Linked DNA regions of Kluyveromyces lactis. The protein of the gene in region 2 interacts with the protein of the main gene of each other region in a pairwise test. Links are inferred from orthologs where the notes say so. Each region holds a gene or a part of one and is shown on either strand. Other genes may lie near its edges. The genes, in order: TVP23, YIP5 and YIP4.

Evidence for each region.
Region 1: the proteins of YIP5 (region 2) and TVP23 interact in a two-hybrid assay, tested with the Saccharomyces cerevisiae proteins (2 studies listed by BioGRID). The link is inferred for Kluyveromyces lactis from reciprocal best matches to the Saccharomyces cerevisiae genes YIP5 and TVP23.
Region 3: the proteins of YIP5 (region 2) and YIP4 interact in binary tests that used the Saccharomyces cerevisiae proteins (3 or more experiments, as listed by UniProt). The link is inferred for Kluyveromyces lactis from reciprocal best matches to the Saccharomyces cerevisiae genes YIP5 and YIP4.

The regions. Positions count from the first base shown.
Region 1 is NC_006039.1:1,019,059-1,023,775, forward strand, and holds TVP23 (Tvp23p), read right to left. Parts: upstream 1,945-4,717; coding exon 1,357-1,944; downstream 1-1,356. Other genes in the region: RRP8 (25S rRNA (adenine645-N1)-methyltransferase), read left to right, coding at 110-1,243; AFR1 (Afr1p), read right to left, coding at 2,302-4,155. UniProt on the Saccharomyces cerevisiae protein: Golgi membrane protein involved in vesicular trafficking.
Region 2 is NC_006037.1:276,385-281,228, reverse strand, and holds YIP5 (Yip5p), read left to right. Parts: upstream 1-2,551; coding exon 2,552-3,349; downstream 3,350-4,844. Other genes in the region: SUA5 (threonylcarbamoyladenylate synthase), read right to left, coding at 64-1,278; SUT1 (Sut1p), read right to left, coding at 3,745-4,844. UniProt on the Saccharomyces cerevisiae protein: Possible role in vesicle-mediated transport. May be involved in proper membrane localization of Rab GTPases.
Region 3 is NC_006042.1:1,154,380-1,159,091, forward strand, and holds YIP4 (Yip4p), read right to left. Parts: upstream 3,326-4,712; coding exon 2,687-3,325; downstream 1-2,686. Other genes in the region: KLLA0_F12452g (uncharacterized protein), read right to left, coding at 1-2,131. UniProt on the Saccharomyces cerevisiae protein: May be involved in proper membrane localization of Rab GTPases.

The DNA.
Region 1 (4,717 bases), on a different chromosome or scaffold from region 2:
CGAACGTCAAAACTAAGAGATGAGATGAGATGGATATTAACAAAGATACTTAAACAGATTCTTGCCCGTTGCAATAGCTGATCAAAAGATCAATACTAACACGTAAATCATGGGTCTATTTAAGGTTGAAGGTTGGAATCTCGATTCCAGCAAAATTGAGTTTGACAATGCTAAAAAGGACGGTGGTAAAGTCAAGAAAAGTCGTAAAGAACGTAAGGAATATCAACAGAAATTGGCTGAGCAAAGGCGTAATGCTAATTCAAAAGAGTCAGAGCCAGTTGAACAAGAAGGTTTAGAGGAACCAACACCTGCGAAACAGACCGAAAAACCAACTAAGAAAAGAAAAATAGAAGAAGTAGAAGCATCACAGCCAGTTTTAGCGACGAAGAAGCCGTTAACAGCATTACAACAAAAAATGATGGCCAAACTTACCGGTTCAAGATTCAGATGGATCAATGAACAACTATACACTATTTCTTCAGAGAATGCGCTAAAGCTAATAAAAGAACAACCCCAATTATTTGACGAGTACCACGACGGGTTCAGATCTCAGGTTCAATCCTGGCCAGAAAACCCAGTTGATGTTTTCGTTGAACAAATACGTGCAAGAGCAAACAAGCCTGTTAATGCTCCTGGTGGATTACCAGGTTTAAAGGATAAAACTATTGTAGTCGCAGATATGGGGTGTGGTGAAGCTCAGCTAGCTTTAGACATCAATAACTTCTTCAAGAGTCACAACAAATCCGCCAAGAAATTCCAAAAGAAATCTTGTAAAGTGCATAGCTTTGACCTAAAGAAAGCAAATGAAAGAATAACAGTTGCCGATATCAGAAATGTTCCCTTGCCAGATGAATCATGTACGATCGTAGTGTTCTGTTTGGCGTTGATGGGAACAAATTTCCTAGATTTTATTAACGAAGCGTACAGAATTTTAGCTCCTCGTGGAGAACTATGGATTGCTGAAATCAAATCAAGATTTGGTGACGGGAAGGGTGAAGAATTTGTAAATGCCTTGAAACTACAAGGTTTCTTCCACAAGAATACTGATGACAGTAACAAAATGTTTACAAGATTCGAGTTCTTCAAACCACCTCAAGACATTATTGAAGAAAGAAAAGCGAAATTGGAACGTAGACAGAAGTTTATCGAAGTAGAGACAGAAAAGGAAGAGCTACAGAAGAAAAGAGAACAGATTCCAGAAGGAAAATGGCTACTTAAGCCATGTATTTATAAAAGGAGATAAAAGACTACCTTTTCGTTTTCCTTTGGTTAGAAGATGTATTATTCACATTTGTACGAGTGTCATTCCATTGATGTACCTAAATCTATGTACTTTTTAATAAATTTGTAGTTTTATCAAGACCTGGTGAAAAATGATTGCAATCTGGTCACTCTGTCGAGGTTTGCAAACGATGGAAGCATTGGAAGTTGGAACAATGGTGCTTCGGCTGTATGGCCAGGTTCCCATTGATCACATAAACGGTAAGCGTAAGCATTCCATAAATTTAAACCACCTGCAAAGATTACTAGTATCAAATACACAAACTGGAACTTAATCAAACATAAAAATCCAAAGACCACCCAAATAGTAGGAGCTACATAAAGTGACAGCCAAAATAGTTTTGAATCGATTGGGTTGATTGGGGCCGCCGCAACATCTGGATATTCTTTGAATGATTCAAATCTAAACGTCGTAGTGTCTTCTCCACTAACATCATACCACCATCGCTGTTGAATTAACTTTCTACCATTGATATTCTTCGTGAAGTAGAAGTCTGCTGCCAATGTTAAAATAACAATTATGAACTGTACTGTGGAACTAAGGAACCATGATCCTAACAAATAAAATACAATTGGCACCGCTTTTCCCAGAAGGTGGATCGTTAGAATCAAAGGATGAGAAGATGCCAAAATTGTCTTGTAGAAGTTTCTTGCTGAATCCATATCTACTATATCTCAATAGGCTGATCGATTTCCTTGACGGTATACCCTAGTTTGTATGAGTTTTCTAAGTCGTCTCTCTTTTCGTTGGTTCTTTGGTGTATTTTTGGTTCAAGACCTTTATTTTTCTTAAGGTCCGGAAACTCTGAAAGTTGCAGATTCATGAGAGAGGTATATTTTGCTGGATCTTTCATGGGAAATGATGGGCTAAGCACCAATAATTGTTGAAAGTTCATGGTGACGCATATCATTATAATTATAATTAACTAACTAAATTAAAGATTATATAAAATTATTGAGTTTGATTGTATATTAGTATTACCTTGTGTGTGATAGTATTCGGTAATTTTTTTCTTTGAGTCATAGAAAGAAATGAGTGTACTGAGAGCTGTTAGGATGAACTAGCATTTCTCTCTTCTTGAATTCATTCAGTTCCATTTTGATTCCGTCGATGTATCTGCTTTTTGACAATTGCTTCCGACTTTCAGGGAAAGCCTTATCAGACCTTAAATACTCCGTTGGTGAGAAAGTGTCATTAACGTATATTTCTTCATTAAATCTGCATTTTTTAGCAGATACAGGTGAAGATGAATCATTGGAACGTACTACTGAAGGAACTACTGCATTGAAGTGTACAGCTTTCCAATTTTGATGCAAATGTTCTATGATGCGATCGCTATGTGTGGTTTGCCCGTTATTATGGTGATGTATGAGTCTTCCTTGATAATCCTTTACCAGTAAAGGTCTCTTCGAAGAGCGCAAAGGTGGTTCAACGGTTGGTGGACTAATTCTTGTGCTTTCATTAAATTGGTTAATTAACGCAATATCGGAATTTTGTTGGTGTTGTTCAGACTTCAACAATAAAGAATCAAACACTAAATCGATGTCCATGAGATCTTTAAAACCATCATCTTCTATATCGTCTTCTGTTTCTAGATCAAGAAGTGAAGGAGGTTCTGCTGATTCAGATGGTAAAATAATATGCTTTGATGTAGTCGGTTTTGATGTAACCGCTTTCTGCCATTGAGTTTTAGCAGATACCTTTTCTTGAATGTCTTCCTTCCTGGCTTTTTTCTTTAAGGGAAACAGTTTTCTAAAGAAGGAACTCAATCTGGAGCTCGATCTCTTAACCGGAGAGGATTCCACTGACTTTTTAGCTTTCTCCTCTTTCTTCTCATTCGAGTTTCCTGATATAGGTATTTTTGAGACAACTAACTCCTTTTTGATAGATACATTAGGAGTAGGACCCGTTAACCCACTTGTAGCAGTGTCTATGTGAGTATTATCATGATGTGAGCTACATTTTTGTGGGAAAGAAATTATTGTCGAAGGAACCTGCAATAGATCATTGCTGGCCTTTGCAGTGCTCTCTGCTACTATTTTTTGGGTTCTAACGGATGATGACAAAATTTTCTTTGTTAGTTCCTCATCGCTGAGATCTGTACTGGTTGCACTCCCTGGATCACAGATCTCTTTTATGGAAGTTTCAGTGCTTTGTGAATCATTACTGGACGCTGTTTGCTTATTGGAGAACGAAGAGATACTCACCTGTGACTGGTGCGATTGTAACCGATTAAAATGCAAAGATGATGCTGTTAATACTGATTTGTTGGGAGCTTTTGTGTTGCATAAAGAAGGTGCTCTGGTGTTTGACCTTGGGGTAGTGGTTAAAGAACCAAATCGACTAGTATTAGAAGGCAGCAACTCATTAGAAATTGTTGGGAGATGATTGACCCGCGAATGCGGATTCTGTAACTGGGATGGCTTTTTCGACATATCTTCGTACTGCGGTAACGATACAGTCACCATACTCGAAGATCTATGCATAGCGGTAATTTTTGGGTGACTGTTAGCAGATCTTTGTCTGTGTAAAGAAACAGAGCTTGCACTCTTTGGTAATTGTCTTCTTGGGGTAAAACTTTCTCCATTAGGAAACTGAAACGATTGTTTCATATGGCTTCTCTGTATCTGGTAAGGAGTCAACCTGTGATGTGCTTTATGCTCTGGGATTAAAGCCAGGTTGGGTATGGACACCGATTTGGACAATTCTACACCATTTTCGCTATTTTGAAACAAACGCTTTTGGGAATGCGAATACGATGGGAAAGCAAATAAATCACTAGTCGATGTAGACCTGGGGAGTAGTGTAGGCTGATTGATACCCCTTGATGTGGACCGAATGCTTGATTGATCATTAAATTGAAAGCTTGACATTACTTCCAGTGATTGTCCTCTTTTTTCTTGAATACACAAACAGCACACTCACCTAGCAAACTTGTAATTGCAATCGATACAGAACAACCAGGACCGGGCAGTTTCTACTAAGTTGGAATTCACTAATTGAACGACAAATGTGTCTCTCCTAGATTAGTATAGGATAGCTTCAAAGCCCTTTTTCTTCAATTGCGAATCTTGTGAATCTTTTTTTTGTTTATTATGTGAAACCCTTCTTATCCTATAAGAAGCAACTCGTCTATTTAAACTTCAGAGTATGAAATTCAGATTAATGGTACATTAATATGGTTATGTCTATTTCAAAACTTACCGTTCTCGTTCCGTTTCAATGCCAGTTTCTTAAAAAAGTGTAGTTAAAGAAAAGAGGGAACAAACGCTAGTAATATAACCACAGATCCTGTACAGTTTCCTAGTTTCGAATGTATTCAATTTAGTTGTATCGACCCGGTATTTAGTCAATGCAAACCCTACTAAGTACAAAGGCAGACCTGTAAAGGTATCCTCATAATTATTACCTGGTTCATGAAATCAACTTATTTTC
Region 2 (4,844 bases):
ATGCATTAGTGTTACTTTTATGAATAGTATATATCGGAAGCTAAAATACTCTGGAACATTTCACTAAAAGTTAATGATGTTGTTACTAGCTGCCTTCCTTAATCTGTTCATAATTGCTAGCCCTTCTTCGTTGGCTTCTGTTCCCTCTACAACAATTAGGTCTACGTTGTCTTCTTCATCAACTTTTCTCAAAAGAGCAAAAAGATTGGCTTGGATCTCCTTGCCTGTTGTACCGAGTGATTCATGTATGCACTTGCCATCTATGAAATGTTTATTCAAATGTAAGCTGTTCAAGAATGCAACCTTTTTGGCACCCTGCTGTATGATTTCCTTGTCAACTAAGCTTTTCAGTCTACCCAATCTTTCGGATGATATGATTTGCGAATCGCCTTCAGGCACCAATAAAATAACCTTAGCCTTAGGGGAATAATGTCTATATTTCATACCTGGAGTTTTGACTTTTTCATCGTCCTTGATGTTTACTTTAGTCTCTACCAGACACTCTTTCCATAGAGGTCCGCCAATGTTTAGAATATTCTCATAGGTAAAACCACCTGGCCTTAATAACATTGGCGGAGTTACAAGCCCATCGACTACAGTAGATTCGACACCAACAGAACATTTACCACCATCTAAAATAAGTGGTATTCTACCATTCAAGTCATGGAATACGTGTTCAGCGGTCGTTGGTGATGGTCTTGTAGATGCGTTGGCTGAAGGTGCTGCGATTGGGGTATCACTCAATGCTATTAATGCTCTTGCAATCGGATTAGCAGGGATTCGACACGCAAATGTTGGTTGATTTGCAGTAGTCAATTTGGATAATGTGTTTCTGTTTGAACCGTCGGGAATTGATAAGAGTATGGTAAGTGGCCCAGGCCACAGTTTTTCCACTAATGGATGATAAATCTCTGGTACATGGGAAAGAGGCTTACAATCATCAGAGATATCTGAGTATATGACACGGTTAAGTTGAGAAAGGGACGAAATATGGGTTATCAAAGGGTTATCGCTAGGTCTGTTCTTTGCCTTGTATATATTTTTTACAGATTCATCGTTCAAGGCAGAACCTCCAAGTCCATACACAGTCTCAGTTGGAAAGGCAACAGTTTCTGAGGTATCTCGTATTATACCAGCAGCTTCTAACAGGTTTTTTTCAGTTTCAGCACATGTGAATGTCGGTAAAGATCCGTCTATATGGGCACTATCTGAGAAATGTATCGCTGCAGGATCGACTTTCAGAATCCTGGTAGTTAATTTCATTACACTTCGTAGCATACACTGGGAAAAATTAGGGAGAGTAGTGTAATGTAATTGTAATATGAATTGATAACTATGACAACCTGAATTACTGAATCTTTGGTATATAAATGACCACTAGAGTCGGATTATTTAGCAGTCTTTCCAATACGATGGCCTCTTCATCATGCCAGCCAGCCTCATCTTTCAATGTTCTGCATTAAAATGCCAGCTTGAGTTAACTGCTGAAAAGGTGAAAAAGAAAAAAACTAATTCGTATATCTCATCTTGTACGAACATGACACTTTCCGTAATCCTGAGCTTGATTAAGCTCGATTCAGGATAAGACAGCACATGTTAATCATAATCCTATAGATTGACAATTGGCGTCGGAGCTTTGTAACCGTGTTGATCTGATTTGATATGCATTAGAAAATGGTGAGTTGAGGTACAAAATATATAGATCGGTATGCTCTCATATTTCCAATATGACGACTATCCCGGTTCACAACAAAACCACCTCTCAATTCGACCGAAAATCTCAGATTTGAATAGAATATCTTGTTTATAATCATTATCCACAAGGGATGCAATTTCACGACACTTCATTGAAAATAGTCAAAGGCTGCATCATAATGGCAGATACGGCTTATTGGAAAAAGCGCTTCGAATCACATGCCAGGTCAATTACAACTCATGGCGGATTAGTTACCTTTTGTAATTTACTTATCGTACGTTGCTTAAAATTCTTTACTGTTATATTTAGTATGCCCTAAAGCTTACCGACAATAAAAGAGTTAATTAGAATGACGGAGTCTTTAATTATCTGGAATTAGGTCGATTGAATTTGTATGGTAAAAAAGTCCGTTACCTACGTCTCCTAGAAATCGATCAAGAGTTTTATAAATTTGCTGGTTAGTCATACCTGGATACATCTTTTACATTTGCGGTGTTCTACGTATGAAGTGTGCCCAATATGATCAAGCAACGGATCATGTTCAGCTGTGCTTTTACCCGCTTCTTTAGCGGTGTGGCAATACGGTGAACATTTGTTAGTAGAGCAGGGGCCTATTTAAGTCACGTGCAAGTGTATTCTTATTTTGTTACCCGTATATATATATATATGTCTTGCCGGTAGCAATTGAAAAATGCTGTTCAAAATCACTTCAACATACGCATAGTAAATAAGGTTTATTGAATCTCTAAACATTGGAAAGAAATATCGGGCATTTATCTCTGACATAATTCAGAATTTGAACGGTAGCAAATAATTTTGTCGCACAATTGTTGACTTATAGATTTTCCTTCTACAATGAGCGCTAAAAAGGATTTGATAGATCGTGATGATGATGATATTAATCCATTTGAAGACGACTCCTTTGTTCCTCAAGTTACACCCGGCTTAAAACCATTCGAGCCTGAGCTCCAAGATATAACGTTAGAAACTACTAGAGAGGCTCCTCAACCTGCTATAACTACAGGAAAGGCCAGTATCTTCTCAAAGCTATCTCCATATTTTCAAGTAGATGAAACCACACTCAAACAAAAACTTATCACCGCATTGAAACTAGGTGAATTGAAATCATTGAGGGATCCTGAAAGCCAAGCAGATGCACAATTGGATTTGTACAGTACTGTATGGATAACAGCCACTGTCATCATGGTACTGTTCCTATCTTATTCCGGTAAGAGTGTTATCGGATCACTAATCACAAATAGCTTTTCTGATGTAATCGATTTCCAGATCATGATCAATTGTCTATTCTTATTCTACATTTACGTTTTGGGGGTGCCAATCTTAGCATTTTTGATCTGTAAATTCGTGTTCAAAGAACCCTTTGATGTCATAACAGCAATTGACACATATGGTGTCAGTAACGTTGTGTGGGTGCCAATCGGTTTCATAAGTGTAGTGACGGGACTTGTGGGACCCTTCGAAAATATAATAGAATGGGTCCTAGTGGCAATAGGAGGTGCATACAGCGGTGGTATTATCTATATACAACTAAAAAATGTTGTAACAGAGTTACAAAATGGTAAAGTTCTATTGCTTGCCATGATTGGGGTTCATATTCTATTTACGTTACTGGTAAGATGGATCATCCTTTAAAGTATATACTCTACAACTTACTCAAAGCATGATAATATGACACCTAAAAAATATAACGCTTGTATCAGTTATGATATGTAAAACGGGTGTTTAATTAAACATATTAGACCAGGTATATATTAACTGTTGAACAGAGTACAATAAAACGATTAAAAACCAAAGAAAAAAACAATGAAAGAGAATAACAGGGAAAAAAACTTCACCCCTCTAATGTACCCAAAGGGGGATAATGTACATCAGGAGAGGAAATAATGAATAGAATAGTTGAAATGGTATGTCCATCATTAATAGAAAAAAGTTCAATGAAAAGTTGAAATAGTGTTACTCGTTTTATGAAAAGGGTGCTGAACGATAATGCTTTTTGCCCTGTGAATTGTATATGAATGTATAGGTTATCAATCCAGTGAATAACCAACATTGAGGTAGTCCTTGACTGTGAAATCTCCTAAAGAATTTCGTTTGCCCAGTTTTTTGTTCAAAGTAGAAAATACGGCGATATCGTTTCTAGTGAACCCTTTGCTAAAACTACAATCACGGTCTTTTTTCTTTTGGCATGAGCTACAAGAGCTGAAAGCAATCAACTTATCAACATGTCTAACCAGCGACATGTCTTTGCGTTCTGCTAATTGTTTCCTGACCTCGGTCGGGATTTTCATCAATATATCTGGTCTACAAGTATCAATTGACAAAGGACAATGTAATGATTCATCTTCTTTGCAATTGAAAAGCAGTGAAGGGTCTTGTGATATGACTAGTACGGTGGCATCGCATTTAATTTTCTTTGACCTGCAAACATCGCAGCTTGGTCCTGTTCTTTGCCTTTTGCACTTAGAGGAAGTGATAACTTTAGCTCCTGAGATATTAGCCAGTAGTTGGTTATCATCAAAGCCTCGTGTTACTCCAGCATCCTCTTCCACAGAAGATGGTGAATTTGAGACAGATTGAGCTCTTGATAGTGGTGACTTTGATCTTGAAGAGGAGCGTGATGTAGTACTTGACGTTGTGTTGGAAGAAACAGCAGAACTCAAAGTGAACGAAGTGTTACTGCTCATTCTCATGCTATTCTTTCTTGAGTTTTTCCGTCCTCTTTTCTTGAACGCTACTGGAGCAGCCAAAGATTCTTCATCAGCACTAGAGTTCGAGCGTTTTCTCTGCAAACAGTCGTGTATTAGAGGATGCTGATGACTGTTATAGCTACTGCCGATAGTATCCTTTGGAAGGGCGACGTTGTTGGTGGCAGCGGCAACAGATGCTAGGCTTGCCAAGTCATCCAACGAAGAACTTGCCGTTGCTGTTGAGCTATTAATGTTTGAGTTTGGTGGTGTCAGTAGAACCGCTGTTTTAGAAGTAGTGTAATTAGCACTTGGCTTGGACCATGAGCTAGAATTGGATATGAGGTTAAGTCCGGACACCGATTTATCCTGCTTGAAATTTGATGCCGACAGCTTGTTAAGATATGTGTTTCTTTCATCATGATGAACCACCGCCGGGAGCA
Region 3 (4,712 bases), on a different chromosome or scaffold from region 2:
CGCTTGGCCTGAATGGAACCCTAAATACCATGCCACCGGATGAACTCGTTACACCTGAAGCAGCGTTTGAATGACGTCTCTGAGAAGACTGCTCCGATATTTCTCCCAAAGAGACTATATGATCAGGATTTACTCCCAAAGAGGTAGGTAATCTGTCGTTGGCGTTAGTAGCGGTTGCTAAGCTATCTGAATGAGAAGCTATCGAATGAGACGAGTTATCATTTGTTAATTTAGATGTGCTTGGCGTATTGAAGAATAAGCAAGCGGATTTCCTTTCCATTGGAGGCGTGCTGCTTTGCACAGACTGTGCACTTGGTCTGTGGCGGCTAAAAAATGTGTCCAAAGATCCTTGTGATGTTGGCTTCTTGTCATCCTTAGCTATGGAAGATATTGAACTAGATGTATGCGGCGAGACGCCTAACTGCCCTACGTTTCCTGAAGAAAGTTTTGAAATCTGGGAAAAGCTTTCCGGTATTTTGCGATCTGTTGAAACTTGAACATAAGCATTAGCCAAAAGCATATCGAAGTACCTACCCCATCTCTTTCTAAGTAAAAAACTTGGAACGGCGACAGATTCGTCATCTTCCGTTATGAACTCAAAATCTGCTAGTAGCTTGTTGTAGACTTCCAAAGAATCTTTACCTAAAACCATTGAATAAGATGGGAAGACGGATCTTATAGATGTGATTTCAGATGGTGGGGCAACATATCTACTGTAATTTTCGAACTGGTCTGTCTCTGTTTGAGCCAAACTGCCCGGTATTTTCTTTGCAGAGGATGATTTAGAGGATTTCTGATCTCTCTGAGCAGAATGGAATAAATTAGTGATATGCAACCCGAAGGAAAGCAGTCTATCAAATTTTTGTACAGAGGGCAAACAGCCAGAATCATTTTTGGTACCAAGAAGCAAAGCCTTGTGATGCGATTCCCATAAGAACAATTTCCAGAATCTATGTTTTGAGCTATGTATATCATCGCAGTTGATACTCAATCTAGTCCATTTCCCTGAAGTGATGTTGTAAAGGAAACAATGAAAATTGTCTGACTGTAAGTTTGGATGGAAACCAGATATTATGATGTTATAACCGAATTTATCGCCGGTGGGCCATTGCAAATTATAGGCGATATGTAATCTTTTTCTTCGTCTATCGTTGTCATCATAGACGTGCATTCTAGCACCTTCGGCATCCGGCATTAAAGGTAAGGCGAAAAGTGGATTCTCTTCGGAGTTGAAATTGCACTTAAACTCATGATCATGATCATGAGATTCCTCTATTGAGGGAGAATACACAGCCAACGACGGCAGTTTAGCCTCATTTTCTTCAACCAACAACGAAAAGTTATTTTCGGAGATGAGAGGAACAGATTTGCCTCCGATATTAACTGTTATATTATGTAAATCGTCCTCTTCGTCCCACACATCCGTTTCCCAACAGTTTGTCGATAAATTGAAAATGTCAATAGTTTCAACTGGTTGGTCCAAATTATTCAAACCACCCACTATAATTAACTTGGTGTCCTTCTTTGGATCCGATTCGTACAAGACATGCATCTGATTATTGAATCTTCTTGTCACTGACGGGTCCTTACTGATTAATGACCAGACTTTATTATGTAAATCCAATTTCCAAAGTTCATTAGTGGAAATAAACTCATAATCAGATTGTTCTGAAACTGTCAAACCACCGAAAACAAAGATAGCCTCTTGACAATAGCATACAGAATGAAATAACCTCTCTGTCAACCGGGGCATCGGATTACCCATGGGATCAGTTTCAGGCATAGTTTCTACCCGTTCCCAACGTCTTGAAATCAAATCTAAAAAGAACACTTCCTTACTTATCCATTGTCCCAGGTTTTGAAATCTATTTGAGTCCTTCCTTTCTCGGGCAAAATGCATAATCAACTCTTGTTGTAGATTAGTAGATGTTATTTCTTGTAAATTCAAAGGGATTGTCAACCCACCGTGCACGAATATCCCCGATCTGGCAAGTACTGTTGCAGCACCAGTTCTTACGTCCAATGTAGATCTTCTGATGGAGCATTCATCCATACTATCCGCCGTTTGAGCATCCAATTGCGGTAGGTGTAGGTTATAACAAGAACAATTTGAGGGAAGAAGAAACGGCATATTCTACTGGAAAAAATTTTTTGAAAGTGAAGTTTGTATGGTTCTTGAATCGATGTGACAGCTATTGAAGCAGCTATTTGCTATGCGTATCTTGTATGCTCCTGGCTGACTAGCAGAACCCAAAATATCAAGAAGGGCCAACAACAGAAAAAAGGAAGATGGCTCCCAATTACTCAACAAAATAAACTCTGCAGTTTTCGTACCGAAACGTATTAGCACTGATACTAGACTATCGATATCTTAAGGTACAATCTGTGGTTGATGGATAATACAGCTTGTTCTCCCTCTTTTTCCTTTCACCGATGCTTTTGATCAGAATGGGATTCTGGTAATTCCTATTTCAAATCCTTTAAATTTCATCATCATTTTGCAGTAAAAGAGGCCAAGGGTGCAGCTTTTAATAGAAAATACAGAGGAGAATTAAGACAGAAAATGATAAGAGATAATTGATTGGTGAAAAGGTCCTTGTACTTCGAAGCATGTTTATATATTTATTTACAACAGGTTTATAAAGTGGATAGTTTGTTTTTTTTGGGTGCGTGCAATGCGGCCGATTCAACAAATCACAGATAACCAACCTAGCGTTACTAAACATAAAGCCAATGGGTATTTTTGAACCAAAGTCTGGGATTTCGATACTTTCCACATTGATATTATTGACCATGACGAACATAGTGCAAACGAGACGATTCTTGCTATCACTATTAGTCTTATAAGTGTAACTTTAGGGATCTTATTGAATAAAGGTAAGATAATTGAACATGCCAACGAATTGATCACTTGCGGGAACATGCAATAACCTGCAAGAGACAAATATGACATCCAAGACATTGGTTCATGTGGATTCAAAAGTTTCAAATGTGTGGCCATAGCACTGATCACCAGCCAACAAGTGATGAAAAACGAGGAAAACCGTCCACGACCCTTGGATAAGAACAACGAGTATAGTATAATGAAACATAGAGGGGCCCAGAGGTCGGTACCTTGGAAAACATGTTGATCTTGAGCACTTGGTGAACCCAATGGGAAATGTGGGTAGACTACTTTCTTTAATTTATCATTGATCTCATGGAAATCTCTTTTGAAAGTGGACACGATACTTTCATCTAACGTTCCTCTAGCAGAAGTGGATAAAGTGGAACCGTAACCGTTACCAGTCTCAGTTTCAATAAAATCTGGTTCAATGGTGTCCATAATTGGCCTTACTCGCTGGGATATGGTAATTAATTGTAAAAAAAGAATAAAATAGAGGTTTTTACTTATAAGTCAATTCAGAAGGAAGGCAACATGTTTTTTAATCCTTTGATACAAGCGTTATTTGTATCAATCAGAGATTGTTCACGCATAGTTATTCATCATTTGAGATTCGAACTGCCGAGAAAGTAACTTTTTTTTATTTGTCACAACTTCGGTTTTCTGGCAATTCGCGCAGACCGCCTGGTCCGCCCACTAAGCTACTGGGGGTTAATAAGAAGCAAGGTATTTCTTAGAGGCGTTTGCCCGTTATGTTGTGAGAGCCTATCACGAGACGTTTCCCAAACTGCAAGAATAAACATCCCCTTCGACCACAGTGCACGGTTCCATTACGCCATTCCAGCCTCTAGCATTTCCTGGTTCAATATCCTAAAACGACAACCTTGGGAGACGTGGTCATCGCTCATTGTTACCCTGGTTTCGTTCATAACGATTTCCCTCTTTCCCTCATTTTGGTCTCCCCTATATCATCACTATACATCATTTCTCTAACTTATCGGGTAGGGCAGAACCAACGAAGTGAGAACACATCCAAACCAACGGATTCTATGCCTTGGTGTTGCCCGAAATAGCAAGGTGCGGTAGCTTATTGTACGCCCTTGTTTTATTTACTATATGTATTTTTTCATGTATCCCTAATGGAGAATGTAACGAACTGCAGCCTGCCAGCTCTTTACATCTTGATTCTAATAATAAATATGGTAAACGAGTGGAAAGAGAAGAAGAGAAGAGAAGAGAAGAGAAGAAGAGAAGTAGGCAAAGAAGGCAAGGGACGTAAATGTCAGAGGCTGCGTGCGCGAGCTGCGGTGCGAAATGCTAGGCAGAATATAGACACTGCTACTGCTGCTGCGCAGCAGCAGTAGCAGTAGTAGTAGCATCTTTGCCATCGAAACCCGACATCTCTGAAATACCTAGCACCCTCCCGCTCACAAACAAAAACAGAACACAACCCATTCCATAACTAAATAGTACATATACGACACTTGGCAAGGCAACACTGGGCACTAGCCCCATCCCTAGCCCCAGTTGGTTTTCCAGTCCAATGCGAAGCGATACCAAGCTGACACTGCGACTTCTTTTCTTTTTTTCCCATATGAAGGAGAACAAAAGTGAAAATTGAGAATTGAAAACTTTCGGTAACGCTTTTTGGCATTACTTACAACTTGTGTTTTATTCATTGGGAAAACACGGTATTTTCAGTGTTTTCCTTCCCATTTGTTTCCGGGAAGATCATCAGTATTGGCGCCAGCTCGAGTCAGGTCAGTGTGTGGTTATTGGCGACAGGTTTGAACACAATACGAAACGGTGTAGATCTCGTTTTTCGGGT